2 linked regions of the Drosophila melanogaster genome follow. Changing the gene in region 2 together with the main gene of any one other region gives a genetic interaction. Each region holds a gene or a part of one and is shown on either strand. Other genes may lie near its edges.

What was found. A genetic interaction does not mean that the proteins touch.
Region 1: of jing (region 2) and slbo, changing one suppresses a phenotype caused by changing the other (phenotypic suppression), as found in Drosophila melanogaster (one study listed by BioGRID).

The regions. Positions count from the first base shown.
Region 1 is NT_033778.4:24,330,029-24,337,828, forward strand, and holds slbo (slow border cells), read right to left. Parts: upstream 4,280-7,800; 5' UTR 3,743-4,279; coding exon 2,393-3,742; 3' UTR 1,494-2,392; downstream 1-1,493. UniProt on the Drosophila melanogaster protein: Required for the expression of gene products mediating border cell migration. Among the DNA sequences that this protein binds with high affinity is a conserved site within the promoter of its gene.
Region 2 is NT_033778.4:6,499,213-6,506,798, forward strand, and holds the start of jing (jing), read left to right. Parts: upstream 1-2,793; 5' UTR 2,794-3,826; coding exon 3,827-4,476; intron 4,477-7,586.

The sequences.
Region 1 (7,800 bases), about 18 Mb from region 2:
TAAAGTCGAGATGTTGGAGCCACAACAATGCGGAGCGGACGAAGTGGAACTGGAGTGTGAAAGATGGATTGGATGACAACGGAATCGAGATGGATTGAAACCGGGATCTGGAGCTGGAGCTGAAGCTGATTGGAGGTCCAATCTGCCAAGCTTAAGCTCGATCATGTAACCCAACATCGTATCTGTGATTAGTGTTGATTCCATTGATATCCAGTTACTTTGGCATATGATTCAATATATTCTGTTTGGATATGTAAGCGAATAAAAAACTGATGCTAATCTTATAAAATCCTAATTATTGTCATACTTAATAGAATCTTTATTAATTCCTTCATAAATCTCTTTGCCCGTCGTTAAGTGTCCCAGCCTTCTTTCATGGCGGCAATTAGCATTTATCAGCGCGGCGTACAGGTGAGACAGAAAGAAGTGTGTTTGCTGCCTCGTCTGCCCGTTGCAGTTGCGAGTCGCGAATTTATCACTTCTCGCTGCCGCCGCTCATAACTCATACGCCTCGTTGCCGCGGCGCCTAGTTGGGCAGTAATTGTGCGGCAATTTCTGAGCGCTTGCCAAAACGCAGATGCATTCGGCATTCGGCAGGAATCCCGCTGCAGGGGGCGAACTTTCTCCGTAAGCTGCTTAGAACCCTTATCAAAGTCAGGCTTAAATGGGATTGGGATGGATTTCGGTTGTGGCTGCGGTTTGTGGCTACCGAGCGACACCCACAAGTTCGAAGCAATTTCACTTTTGGGCCCAGAGTGCATGCGCAATTAGCTTTCATCAATCAAAGTGCTCAACAATGCAGCTAGACAAATTGGACGCACGCAGCAGCAGCAGCAGCAGCAGCAGTTGGCCAAGATACAGATACGGATGGAAAGAAAGTTTTGACCAAAAGGGCTTAGCCCGAGCCCAAATGTCTGTAAGTGATTATCTGCCCCAGGTCGGCATGCGTTTTTTGGCTCTCTGGCTCCGTGGCTCTGTGGCTTTTGTTTGGGCTTTCTCTGGCGCGTTAATTTGTCGGTTTCTCGAGTTGCATTAATTCTTTTTCGCTTTGTCGTTTATAAATTTGCTTTTCGTTTCGGGTTTGTCTTACTGTCAAATTGTGTCAACACGGCCGCCTTGCGATTGTCTGGGGTCCTCCACTTCGCCCTCCTTCCTCCCTGCAATTGGCCCAGTGTCGCGCCTGGCAGCCCGAAATGCATTGCCTTGTCGTATTTGTCCCATCGGAAGACAGCGAAGACAGCGAAGACAGAAGACGGCGGACAGAAGAAAGACCCTGCCCTCCCAATGCGGTGGTGGTGCGTCTCTTTCTGGTCTTCGCCCAGCGTATCGTTTTGTCGCCCAAGTATGGCCGACATTTAATTAGACACTTTTTGGCAGGGCTTTTGCATCAAATTGTGGCTAGGGCTAATTGCAGATTGGTAGTTGAACTGTGGAAATTAAGAAGTTATCTGAAATTCATTTGGGTTTTAGTCAAAACGCACGACAAGCCGATTCTTTGTATAAGGTAAATTTTATTTAATTTGTTTAGATTTGCTTTACAGTTTTCTTTGTTTGTGTATATTTAATTTACGAATATATAAATTAAAATGAGAACATTGCGTTTGCCTTACAATTAATAGCATTCATATCTTCTACGCTCTCGGAAGCGAACCCGTGGAATTCGCTACAAGTTGGTTGATTTCGGGAGGCTTTCCTCTGGGGATTGTGCAGGTAAAGCGATGCTTGATTCTCCGACTTACGAACTAGAGATTTGCTAATGTTGTGTGTCAAGCAGGGCTGGGCGTGGGAGTGGGCGTGGCATCAAGCATAGAGCGAAGCCGCACACCGTCGAGAACTGTACACATTTGAATTAGATGTATAAATAGTTAATAGGTTTTGAAGTTTGTATTTTCGTTCTTCGTTCCTGCGTGTTATTCTTTTTTACATTAATATTTTTAACATTTTTCTTTGGCTTAACTTTATGATAGATATAATGTATAAGATTATGTATAAAAACGTGCGAAATATATATGTTACAGTCGTTAAGAATTAGAATTAAGTACAAAAATATGCTTTACAGTGATAACAAGAAATGGGGACAGAGTAAATGTACAAGGAATGCCACAGCGATCGGCAGAAGAGTTTGGTCTCCAAGCGATGCAGCGGCCCACCAACTTGGCGCGACCGCTCCATCGTCTACGGCCAGAGAGGACAATGAGGAGCAGGAGGAGAATGAACCTTACGAGCTACCCACACAGCATTTGTATCTTTGATTTAGCAGAGTCTCGCTCACACGCACACACTTACGGCTGGAGCACTCACACACTCATACACACACACACACGAGCACTCAAGCATTCAAGCACTCACGCACACACAGAACTCGCAGGACACTGGCTTTAGCTGGCAGCGGCTACAGCGAGTGTTCGTTGGTGTTGAGGAAGCTGCGGCAGACGCGGCTCACTTCGGGATTGGCGTGGTTCATTAGCTGCATGTAGATCTGCTTGTGTAGCTGCAGCTCGTTGGTCATCTCACCAAGCTGCCGAATGAGGGCGTCCTTCTCCTTGAGCAGGCTCTTCACGCGCTCCTCCACCTCGCGGGAGCGCACCTTAGCCTTCTCCCGGCTCTTGCGCACCGCTATGTTGTTCCGCTCCCGCCGCCTGCGGTACTCATCCGTGCCCTTGTCCACATGCTTGTTGCTGTGCTTGCGGTGCTGCTGCTGTTGCTGGTGCTGCTGATGCTGCTGCTGCGCGTGCAGCTTGCTGTGCTGCTTGAGCAGATTGTGTGCTCCTGCTGCGGCCGCCAGGTGGGGCAGGTTGTGGTGCGCCAGGACGTTGGCCGTCGTCAGGTTGGTGAACTGGCTGCCGTTGCTGCTGCCCGTGCTGCCGTTGCTCCCGTTGCTGCTGGGCGTGGTGTTGCCTCCGTTGAGTGGGTTTCCGCCCCCGGTCAAGCCATTCGCCCCCGATCCGTAGCCGTTGTACAGGCCTGCTCCATTGCCCATGAAGGCGGCCTGCTGGCTAGCCGCCTCCTGCAGGTGCCGCCTGTACTCGGGGTCGATGGGCTCCTCCTTGATCGTGCTGGAGTCGGAGCCCACGGAGCTGTTCTCGTCGCTGGAATTGTTGTAGGTGGCGTGCACGGGCTGCGGCATGTAGGCCAGGGCGCCTCCTGCTCCGCCACCGCCTCCCCTGCCCCCGTAGCCGTGCTGGTTCCGCAGGGTCTGCTGCTGCAGGACCTTCGCCGCCGCCGAGACCATTCCGCTCGGCGGCAGGGTGGCCGAGAGTCCGCCCGGACTGGTCACCATGTCGCTGAAGATGCCCAGCGTTTCCGTGTCCCTGAACTGGTCGTCTATCAGGTGCTGCAGGTCGAGCGTGATCTCCTGGGTGGTCAGCTCGTCCAGGTCCGTCTGAGTGGAGTACTGCTGCAGCATCTGCTTCTGCAGCAGGTTGTTGTTGCTGCCCAATGCGGCGACCTGTTGCATCTGGTGCATGGCGTGCTGCTTGACCAGGAGTGCCGCGTCCTGCGACGTGTTGTTGTTCGCATCGGTAGTCTGCTGCTGGGGTTGCTGCTGCTGCTGTTGTTGCTGCTGCTGTTGCTGCTGCTGTTGCTGCTGCTGTTGTTGCTGCTGCTGCTGCGCCGTGGACATGGCCGTCAGTGTGATCTGGCCAATGGTGGCCTGCTGCAGGGGAGGCTCCTTCTTGAGGTCCAGCTGGGCCAATGTCTGAACGGCATCGGCGTACATCTGCGGCGACTCCATGTTCAGCATTTTCAGTTGCGCGAAGGAGGGTAGAATCTTGATTCCTTGTAGAGCGTTAATTTTGGCTGTTTTTAGAGTTCAGATTTGGGAATAAACTTTTGCTCGTTTGGCGCCTAAAGCATTGCACTGAGGTAAGAAGTGGGTCTTTGGAAATGTTCGACTCGGATAGCTCGCTATTCCGTATGCTTCATCTTAGGCTGCCTGGGTGGTCACTGCAGCCGAGCATCGTACTATTGCTTATTATGTTTCCGATTCTTAGCGCAAAATGTTTTATTCAGTTTGTTTACTTTGTTAACTCGACACTGCACTTCTCCGGCCGCACGCGTTCGAACGACTGAAGTGCCGCGGCAGTGATGCAACAGATTTTATACGAGACGGCCTGACGACTGCCGTTGGCTAGTACTCTCGTACTCGTACACGTACGTGTGCTGGTGTTAGAAACGCTCCTGAAGAACCGTTAGCTGAGCGAGCTTTTCTTCGATTTGGATTTTCTTGGCCAGCGGAGAGCGCGCGTCCGTCGCCGACGAGTGGTAAATTGTAACTGTGACAAAACGCGAACGCGAACGCGGCAAAGTGAAAAAGTCTTTGGCGCAGCGACGCAGCCGAAGAAAAAGAAAATGAGCGGCCAGCGCATGTAACACACACACACACACACATTCACTCGTACCGCTCCACACCGAAGCCCCAAGCGTTGCCGTCGCCGTCGCCGTTACAGCAAAGCAAAGGCGGCAGCAGCACAGCACAGCACGAGCAGAGCAAAAGCAAAGCAAGAGCAGGCAAAGCACAAGTAAGCCAGGCAAAGGCAAAGGCAACTACCTGTGGATGAGAGCGAGAGCCGCGATCAGGTAAAAAAGCAAGAGTTTTCCCAATCACTTTTACTCTCGTCGCAAGGCAATTCACTGGGCCATTCTTGTGGTTGCTGTGCGGGCCAAAAGCACGAATGCAAGCAAAGTGCATTTGGTACGAAGCTGGGAGATACTTCTTCAGTTTCCGGAACTTAATATCATATTTGATAGGATAATTACATTTTTTATATAGAATTTATTACATTTATACATGTTCCACATAAGTTAGTTTAGATATTAGTTTAGATATTAATTGTTTAATTAAGACCCCATCCTAGAATCCAGTATTAGTTATGCGCTGATGCAGTGAATTTCATGATAAAACTCAATGCAACGCACGATCGCGTGACGTCACACAAAAGGGAGCCCCAAGGCACCCACACAAGCTCAAGCGAGCACAGACACCAGCAGCGCGCGACGTCGGCAGCGCAGCCAGCGCTCATTATTCCTTGGCTCTCGCTTTCGTTTTCATTTTCATTTTCGGTTCCGTCGCTTTTGCTTTTTTTGGGAGAAGAGCCGCACAGCCGCAGCGAGAAGCAACAACACCACGCCCGCACACACCGGCACTCCGCTGCGTAACCCCCGACCCCCATTTTGGGGCCTTGCCCACTCCGATTTGTGTTTGGGCTTCGACTCGCTTTGCGCCTTAGAAATACAGAAAAGCAAAAAAAAACACAGAAGTGCAGTTACTTGGTGGATCGGGGGATTGGGGGCTTGGGGATTGGGGCCTGTTTTTGGCGCGCATGCGTGACTGCGCAGTGGAAGCGCAACGCATCGCGGAGCTTTCACGTAATAGGCAGCGACGTCTTATTAAAATTAAGACTGTGTTATGAAATTCATAAAAATTAGCACGGCTCGTAGTTTTGTTTATTTAAATGCAGCGATTTGTGAAGTCGCCTTCTCCACTTTTCCCCCATTGGCGCTCTTCTGCTTGGTGCTCACTCCGCTAACTCTGCTCACTCTGCTGACTCTCCTGAGTTTTCGAGTCTGCAATTTGGGTCAAGTTGTCGTTTACTTTCCGAAGGTGCGTCCCCTGCTTTCGGCCCCGCCTCTCGCCCCCGTCTTCTGCCTTCGTGTATGTACCTTTTGTTTACCCGGACTTTATTAATCATACGCCCCGTGCGCCGTTGCACGATAAGAGGGTATTCCGCTGTCGATGACAGGACAGCCACTTTTCTTCGCTTATCAGTCAAGCTATTGCAGCGAATCGGAAATATCGCCGATATCGATGACTGCATCGAGATTGTGCAAAAGTGCTTCCTTGTGCGTCCACAAAGATATTCTTCTGGTCGGGTGTATTTCAAAACGCATTCAACGCACCCTTATTGTTCTTGGGGGATTGCATTGTGCGGTCTGGTTACCCAAGAACTGATTCCATATCGATCGATGGGAAAGGTGATGAAATCTGCAATTTAAATGAGGCAAGATCGATCCATGTGCACCTTATCTTATCAGATTGTTTATGGAGAAACTACTGGTTAAATGGGATTAAAGCAAAGCAAAGTCATTTATTTATTTGCTTATCCTCCTGCTAACTGGAATCGTCCAAGGCTTACCTAAAGTTACCTATTTATAAAAACTTGAAAGCATAAATTTTTTAAAATAAATTTAAAAAAAAAACACTTCAAATTAGCAAGTAGGTGGACTGGCTATAAATACCAGCCCTTTGGCCAACAAGAAGGTGTTAGCCCTGATAAGATTAAAAACGCAAATACCATTGGCCCCCAGTAATTTCACTTTTTAAAATTGAGTAGGGTATTCATAGAGATGCTAGCATAAATCATAGATATTTACCCATTGATACCAAACTTGGAGAAAGTCTAGCAGATAAGCAGCTCTTTATCACCTTGATCCATTTCAGCGTTTTCCCAAAAGGGAAATTGTAGGCGTATTTATCTGCCGTCGACAACGCCCACGCGCAAAGTGCCTAAGAGTTTTATTTATATATTTTGGCAAACGACTGATAAGACGGCCAAAAGCCGCGAATTCGTAAACAAAACAAATACGAGTAGCGGCCACAATTCACAATTCACAACTGGCGTTCGTTGCACTCTGCAAAAAGTTGTCTGACACATGCGAAACTCCGACTGAATTGTGTTTATAAACACGGCCATAATTGGGAGTTTTGGCCAATGATTTCTAGACGGCGTTGTGTTTTGTTTTGTCTTCATTTTATTCGCCACTCGCAGTCAACTTATCTCGATGACGCGTAGCCAATTTAACTCTGCACTTCCTCAAATCCGAGCTCAATCGAAGTGAACTCGAGTCGATGGGGTTGGGTTACACACTCGCTTCATTCTCACGGCCTTGTTTATAGGAAAGACCTTTCTAGGAAGCTTTTTTGTTTTGGTGCGGTGAATTTTGTACTGATAGAATAGATATTAATTCCATAAGTACGCTTCTTTATTGACTCATCGCAGCAGATAAGTTCATACTTTTCACAAAACCCAGTTAGCCAAAACTCCGGTGGTTTCCACCTAATTGCAGTGTACTTAACACCATTTAAATGCAACCAGTTCGACGACCCCAAACTCTTTTCCAAAGGGGATTCTCGTGCTTTTGCGCTTCACTTCTGTAATTCTGACTCTACTTCCACAGAAAACGAGCCCGTTCCCTGTCGCCGTGTGCTGATGAGTACAGAAATTAATAATATTTAGTGCTGATGCGAGGCGATTCGGCAATGAAAGTCGGCTCTTCGGCGAAAACTTTTCGCTGCCCGCTGCTTAGAAAAGTCTTGCCAATTAATAGGAGCGTGAGAATAAAACGCGCGAGCCATCGAGTTCAACCAAAAATAACAAATATTTCAATTATTATATTTTAATCTAATCAAATTTTAAAACATCATTTTGTTTCATTGTTGTCCATGTGTAATTATATTTATAACAATAAAATCTATTTTAAAAATTATGTAAAACTTAAGCATATATTAACTTACTACTTATTTTCAAAGCTATTAGCAAATGGCGCGTAGAAAGTTAAAATACGTTTGAACAATTTGAATTTGAATTTAAGCAGCGCTTGTAAAGCAGTTTTATATCGATAGGTATACTGCTTGCTTAAAAGTTCTCCGATAACTTATGTGGCGCCATCTAGGCAAGAAGTTATGAGTATATGGTGCACTGCTTGGGAAAGGTGACCTGCTTGTCAGTTGGCGCCAATTCATGCAATTCAAAATCTGAAAATACGGCAAGTAATATATTTTAATCATTTATATTAGGTAAA
Region 2 (7,586 bases):
CTTCACTCAAAACAACCGATTTTGTGCGGAGCACGATAAAAACGTCTTCACACGTCGGCGATCGAATTGTATTTTGATTCCTTTTTATTATTTCATCGTTACTTTTCCTCCTTCATATTCTTCGCTTAGTTCTATACTTATTTCATATTTCTTATTTATATTTATATTTAATTTAGTATACGTTAATTATATATTTCTTATATTTCATATTTCTTATTTATATTCATATTTACTTTAGTATACGTTAATTATATTTTTCCTTCCTCATATTTCTAATATATATTAATATATATTCTTATTCTTAATATATATTAACATATATTCTTATTCTTAATATATATTAATATATATTCTTATTCTTAATAATATTAATCATAAATATTATTCGGTCACTGTTACCGCTAATAAAAATTGATCCCAATATCAATTTTCTTTTTTTTTATTAAATAATAATGTAAAGGAATCCATAAGTACAATTTCCCCTTCACTATTCACAGATTTTTACATCCTTGCCCACGCATTTCCGAGAAGAATCTAAATTGGCTTTTTTAACAATAACCTTTAAAAAAAATGAAACATTTCTTGAAAGTCTTTGATTTAAAATAAAAAGGTAAAAAATACACCCTGAGACATAAAAAGTATATAAAGAAATATGTTGTTATGCTTTAAAAAGTTTCTCCACATTTTATGGTGAGCACATAGTGTTAAACGATATGGAAAAATAAATTAAGATCAATAAATTAAAAATGAAAAATATGTAATCAAATTTTTCTTTTTCTTGTTTGATCAATCCATGCAGCTAAACATTTTAAATAAATAAGCTTTTTAAATGCCTTTTCAAACGTGCGGAAAACCTTTTTTAAAGTCGTATTAATACACATTAAATTGGAGTCGAACGGAAAATATTTAGCATGGAGTTGATGTGAAAAATTTATTTAACATAAAGGTTTCTGTCTTCGTTTATGCGTTCGGAAGTTTTAGATATGTGATTATTTATGAGTCTATTTTTTTATCGTAATTAAACTGACTTTGCGTTGGTTAACCAATTTTCCCGTTGATGGTCAAGGAACATCATGCAGTTCGCTATCAATTTTAAACTGGTTTGATTCCTTACTTAGTTTACATGCCCACTTATGTAATTTTGGAATTATCTATAAAAATACTGAAAAGGCATAACTGTTTATTTGGACGTAATCGCTGACAAAAGCTGTATGCTGTGGCAATCTGAGCTTTACACTGAGAGCATTTAAAAGACCCATAATTTTTTTTTAATTGTGATGGGCTCCAGTATAATTGCCAGCTTAGATATTTTATTGAGGAAATGTTTGATTATATTTTATTTTTATATTTAATAATTTAATTTAATATTATCTACACATATGTATATGCATCTACAAAAATATTCAGCGAAGTATGAATGCAGCATTATGGTTGTTTTTCTCTCAATTGTCTCAATCCTATTTTCACTCTCTCTCTCCGTTTGCTGCAGTTTAATAGCTTTCCGGAAAATGCAGCGCAAAATGCGAACGCAAGCTTATAAACTTATTTAACTTGTCACTCTTACGCAGTGTATTTTTGCATTTACAATGGTTGAGTGAGCTATTTTTTGCAGAGCTTTTGTGAGCTAAAACATTTTGATTGTATTAGATGCATTCCTCGGAAATGAATTCATTCACTTAATTAAAGTGATCCCAAGTATGTGCAGTGTAAAACGTTCAATAGGAACAAACATTTTATTGGTAGAGTAAAACTGGACACCAAACGAGTTTTGTCGCACTCGCACACACCCGCAAAATTCTCGCGTAAACATGTCTTCTTTGTCCCTCCTGTTTTTGCAGTCTCCCTCAGTTGCATCGCACAGACGTACGTACCATTGCTTGTAGCGTAATAAAAGCACGTGTTGTGTTTGATTCCTCGCTCCCTCCCTTTCTTTGGTCTTTAAAAACAGTTGCGACTTTAGATTGTGTTTGTGAGAGAGCTGGTCTGGCTGCCTTGCTGTTTTGTTATTGTTTGGTTTTTGCCATAACTTTGTTTACTTTTATCTTTTTTTATACAAGACTCGTGTTTTTTTTGTTTTTGTTCTTGACTTTTTTGGCCTTATTAAGTGTGGGCCAAAACAGATACATATAGCCAAGGTATTGGTTATGGGTGCATATTCTCCACACATCTGTATTTAGCTTCAAATTCGAGCTCAAGTTCCCATATAACCATGCTCGCTTGGATGAACCGGTTTTGAGTTTTATCGAACCGCAGGAACCTCTTGTATTCTGATTAGTTCCCACACATATCAACAGGTAGCTGCAGCTTGGGTCGCTTGTGTGTGAGCGAACTTGCCACCGCGGACACATCGGAAGTTGCTGCCCATCTAGCCAGCCGCCAAATGCTGAAATTCAAATACGGAATCTCTGAACTTCCCCAGAAGTTCAAATGCACACACTCACACACACAGAAAGAACTCACATTGTAGCGCAACAAGCTCCCCACGCGACCCTCTCTCTTGGTCCCGCTCTCGAAAACCTGCTGCCGCTGCACAGAAATCAAAAGTGAACACACTGCACGCGGCCCTTTCTTCTCCTCTTCACCCTCAGCTCGTCGGAGAGCCCCTATTAAAACGAACGGCAGTTCGTTGCCTTCGTTCTTGCTTCGCGTGCTTCGTATCTTGATTTGTGCCCGGTTCTAGTTGGCTAAGCCATTCGGCTGGCACTCGGTCCGCCGCCTCGCTTCTCGTCGGCTACCTCTTCGGGTGGGGCCGCAGCGCTCGGTCCACTCCCACTCCACTTGGCCCCACTCGTCAGTCAGTCGGCAGGCAGAGCAAGAGCAGCCCGCAGCTTTTTCGTGGGGAGATCGCAGTTTTTCGCTTGCCAATCGATGGCGTTTCGGAATTCTTAGCTTGCAGTGCAGCGCTTCTTAGACTTTGTTTAATTTGGTTATACTGCAATTGGCGGCTATTAAGAGCAGTGACCACTACATTAATTATGAATGGTACGCGCGGCAGACAAGTTGGCCCCGCGATAAGTAAATCGCTAGTTTGCTGAGGCACATTGGAATGCATTTGATTAGATTGCGATGTGTTTGTTCGCCCGTCATTGTTGTCAATAAACAAAAGCTGGCTCGCAGTCACAGCGACTAGGAGGTTAACCTGACTTACCCGTTTCGGTTTTGAATTCGGTTTCATTGTCGCTTTCTTGAACTTGCGAGCACCGCGTGGCCAATCTTGCAGAATGAATTTCGGGTGTGCACCGGAAACAACCGACAGTGAAATAACTACTGGCCATTCACAAATCCATAAAGCACAGTGTAACACTTTGTAACGGATCGCAAATCCAACCACCCCACGCAAATCAAAACCGAACCCGCGACGTCGATTAATTTTATGATGATCAAGTAGTTTCTCGTTGAAATATCAATCGAATTGAAAAATGTGTGTCATAAGTGCAGAAGTGAAGTGCAGCTTAATGCCAAAAGTCATACAAGTGCAATTGATTTAAATGAATTTTTGTTTAATTTGTATAAATATTTTTACTTCTCGTAACTCGATAGTCCGACCCACGAAAGTCGTAAAATGCAAGTTCATGGCGATATATATATACCAATTTGTGCAAACTGATGGGGAAAATCGGAATGGTAACACCATTTAAGGGCAGTGCGGCTAAAAATTGCTGACGAGCAACTTTCAGATTAATGCAATTCAAATTGGCTTTCCGTCGACTAACAATAAGCCGTTGGGAATAGCAGATGTGTGCTAAAGCAGATCCAGAGTTCTGGCAGCAGTTAACACCAATTAAAAGCGTCGTTATAGCAATAGTGCAGCAAACATAGAGGGAAAATGTCAGTCACTCAGCCAAAGGATACGGCATTAAAGACCAAGGAGTCGGCAGCTGAAGTAGCAGCCCCTCTGGCCCCACTCTCTGTCAAAACAGCAGGAGCAACGGGACGGAAAACTTTAACCTCCAGCGCGGCTTTGTCACTGTTTGATCAGCTGAAAAATAGCGTCAATACAAACAGTTTGACAATTGGCGCCGGCGTCGGCAACAACAGTAGCCCAGAAGCCACACCACCTATAACAGCACCAGCCAGTACAACCACCGCCTCCCCGATACTTACTCCCAAAAGCCCACCACCCACACCACCCATCAACAAAAGCCCGTCTCTGTCCTCCAATATTGAACTGAAGCCCCCGGCCAAACCCGCTCGGCCCTTTACCTCGCCCAGCACTATTGGAATCGTGCAGGGTACCAAACGGGGGGTGGGCGGAGTTTTTGGCGGGTTTGGAGCCCAAGCCGCCAAATTGGATATAAACGCATTGCGATCTCAGCTCTACCAGGGCGCCAGGAAGACTGCAACAACATCTCGAGTGGGAGTCGGCAAAACAACAACGGTGGCAACAGCCCCAAGAACAACTGGAGGAGAACGTGGCACAAAGGGGTCCAAGAAGAGATGTCTAGATCGGTACGACTCGTCGGAGTCATCAGACAGGTGAGTGCATGTCGTGGGCACACTACTGAAGTTTGGCATTTTGCAGCGATAGGGAAGTACGTTGCTCTTCGACAGTTCTAAATTCTAGTCGTAATTTGAGATTTTTTGAGGTTTATTTAAATGCAAAGGCAGGCACGATGGTCGTATCTAATTTATGAAATATATTGAAAACTTAAAATTTTTAAGGAACACAATAAGACTTATTTAACAATAATAAAAAATAAACTTTTTGCATAAACACCTTTAGTATACGCCATAAAGACATTCAATAGCAGCTTACCCCGTCCCCTTTTCATCGACGTATTTAATGGCATCATTAAGCGTCTTAACAATGCAAGCTGCCAAATGTATTTCTTAGATGCACTGCCTAACTATAAAGGGAAATGCAAAAGTGTATCTGCGAACCGGCTGGCTGTGCCAAGTCTGAGCCAAAGAAAATTCTCTAAATATACACGCGCGCTGTACTGCCAAAAAGTGATCCAAAAGTGTGATCCGTAAGACACAAATAGAATGCAGCCCATCCCAATCATGATAAACGTATGAACCAAATCTGCAATGCTCAGCGAGATCTGGAAAAAGCTAATAGCCGATTGAGCTGAATTTATCTGACAGGTAATCGTTCCGATAATTGTACAGAACAGCAAAGTGCCAGTCTTGTAAGGGGCCTACGAGGCACGTGCCTCATAGATTGCAAATTTATGGCTTACAGATACATTTGTATCTACTCAAATGGGCAGCCACAAAACCTCTTGCCGCAATGCCAACTAATTTCCGCTCATTAAAAATGCGCAGCACAGTAGAGGCAGCAGTGGAATGGAAACAAAGGAAGAGCAAAGGCCGCAACGAACTGCAGGCATTTGTATCTGGCAGATACGCACAACATGCGTTCATTTATCAGCCGCAAATGGCGGCTGATGCGCCGCAGTAGCAGAGCTGCTGATTTTCCATGCGGCGCGTGGGCGGTTGAGCAAACGAAAACAGCTTCCTGGCTGCATCGATGTAGATATAGATGCAGATACGAGTCCGAAACCGAAACCACCCCCTCGGGGAAATTAATCTTGAATATGGACGGTGCTCTCTGCCGATCTGCTGCACAATTGTCGATTATGTTTAAGTTATGTTTCGGTTTTCAGAAATGGTTCTGATTCCATACATATCTTCTAAACGCCAATGTGGCATTTGTGTCTGGTTTCGCAGCAGCATGTTTCAAATGTTTTGTGGGGAGCGTTTTGTCAATTGGCTTGGCCTTATCACCGTCCTCGTATCACCTCCCCAAGATCGCGTTCCCTCGTTGACTGGTGAGCGATTTCGGCGTTGCTTCTTTCTCTTCGTTGGCAGTCGGAAATCATTTAAACTTTTGGTCGTTGAACTCCTTTTGATTTATTTATTTTGTTTGTTTCTGTTTCTGTTTTTCTTCCCTTTTTGGTTTTTGTGTGTGTGTACTTTTTTGTCGCCGCCAAAAAGCACTGCATTTTGTTGTAGCTTTGTGTTTGGCTCGGTTTTTATTTCGATTTCGTTACGTTTTGTCCGAATCTTTGCACTGAATCTTTCCAGAGCTGTGCGCCTAAAATTTGAATCTTGTCAAAATGCTGATTTTTTAAACTAAACTCTCTCGTTGGCTGGCTCATTTTAACGTGTTCCTAAACCACAAAAAACAATCCCACTTCCACTGAGCGTAGTCATTAAAATGTATTTATTTTCGAAAAGCAAAACAAAAACCAAAACATGTGCACGTATGCATTTGAGTATAACCAGCGAGTAACATCCGCAGCTTCGAAGCGGAGGCATTTAACTTTAATTGTCGCTCATAAAGCTGAAACACAACTGCAAGAGTAACTGCCTACTTCAGCAACGCAATTGTTGGCTGCTGCAACTGCTGGCGTCGTCTTTGCTTTTTGCAGTGTCGCCGGACTGAGCGAGTGTGTGTGTGTGCTATTGATTTTGTCGACTTTGGTCTTACAGGTTTTCCACGTTTTTCCACATATTTCCACGAGACCCCGAGAGCGACCCACTGCTCCAATGGCGCGAGTCTTTGCCCATGCCTTTGCTTTTGCTTTGCTTTGCTGATTGTGGGCTGTTGCTGGTGCTCTTGCTGTTGCTGTTGCTGTTGCACTTTTCGCCAAGTCATGCAAGGCGGTCAGCGGGTGGCAGGGGACGACAATCACCCTGAGATATTGTGTAATCGCCCACGTTGATTTATCTCGTTTAAGTGACTCCGAAACGGCAGCACTGCAACAGCAACAGCATCAGCAATTGCAGTTGCAATGACAGCGGCAACATCGCGCGATGACATCGAAAGTGTAATATAATAAGTTGCAATTGCCAGTGTGTGTATCTCCGTTTGTTGCCGCGGGTCGTGCACTCAGAGAGGTCGTGCTTCCGATGCTATTTGCCATGTCTTGGCATAACCACTTGCAAGCTCCTTTTTGGCCTTTTATCAATTTGAGCCTGGCAAGTTGTGAGGGTTGTTGTTTTGATGATGGTAAACGCGCTCGATTTCCGAAATATAAACTTATAAAAATATAAGTCGCTTGAAACTACCGCTTAGTGGGCGGTAATCGGGAAAGCAATCTTGATTCATCGTAATACTGACTCTTTCATAGACTGACAAAGAAATGTTCTTTCCAGGAGGTTGACATATGTATAGATACCTTTAGCAGATTTCATAAATATTAAAATAACATCTGTTCCTTACTTTCGCATCGGTAAGGAAATAAACATATAGTCCATGTCTGTTTGAAATTTTTAAATTGAAATTTATGTTCAGTGCCAGTTGCAAATATAAAGTTCGTGTACCAATTCGTTCTTTAAATGTCGGCCATATCCACTGTATTGACGCTAGGAGATTAGGCTGAAGATAAAGTTCGTTGTCTTGCAACTGAAAAGCCGAAAAAGACTCGATGAGTAAGTGGAAGAAAATGAAGTACCGTAAACATGTAGTGTTGGTTGAATGAAAAACCTTTTGAACATAAATCAAAATACGTTTTGGTCGCTCTGCTATTTGCATGTAACATATACCCACAGGTATATGTTATTCGAGGCAATCGTCTTTAGAAATCGCGTGTTTTTTTTATAAGTGTACACTGTGTTTTGATGCTTTAGTGTTTTCT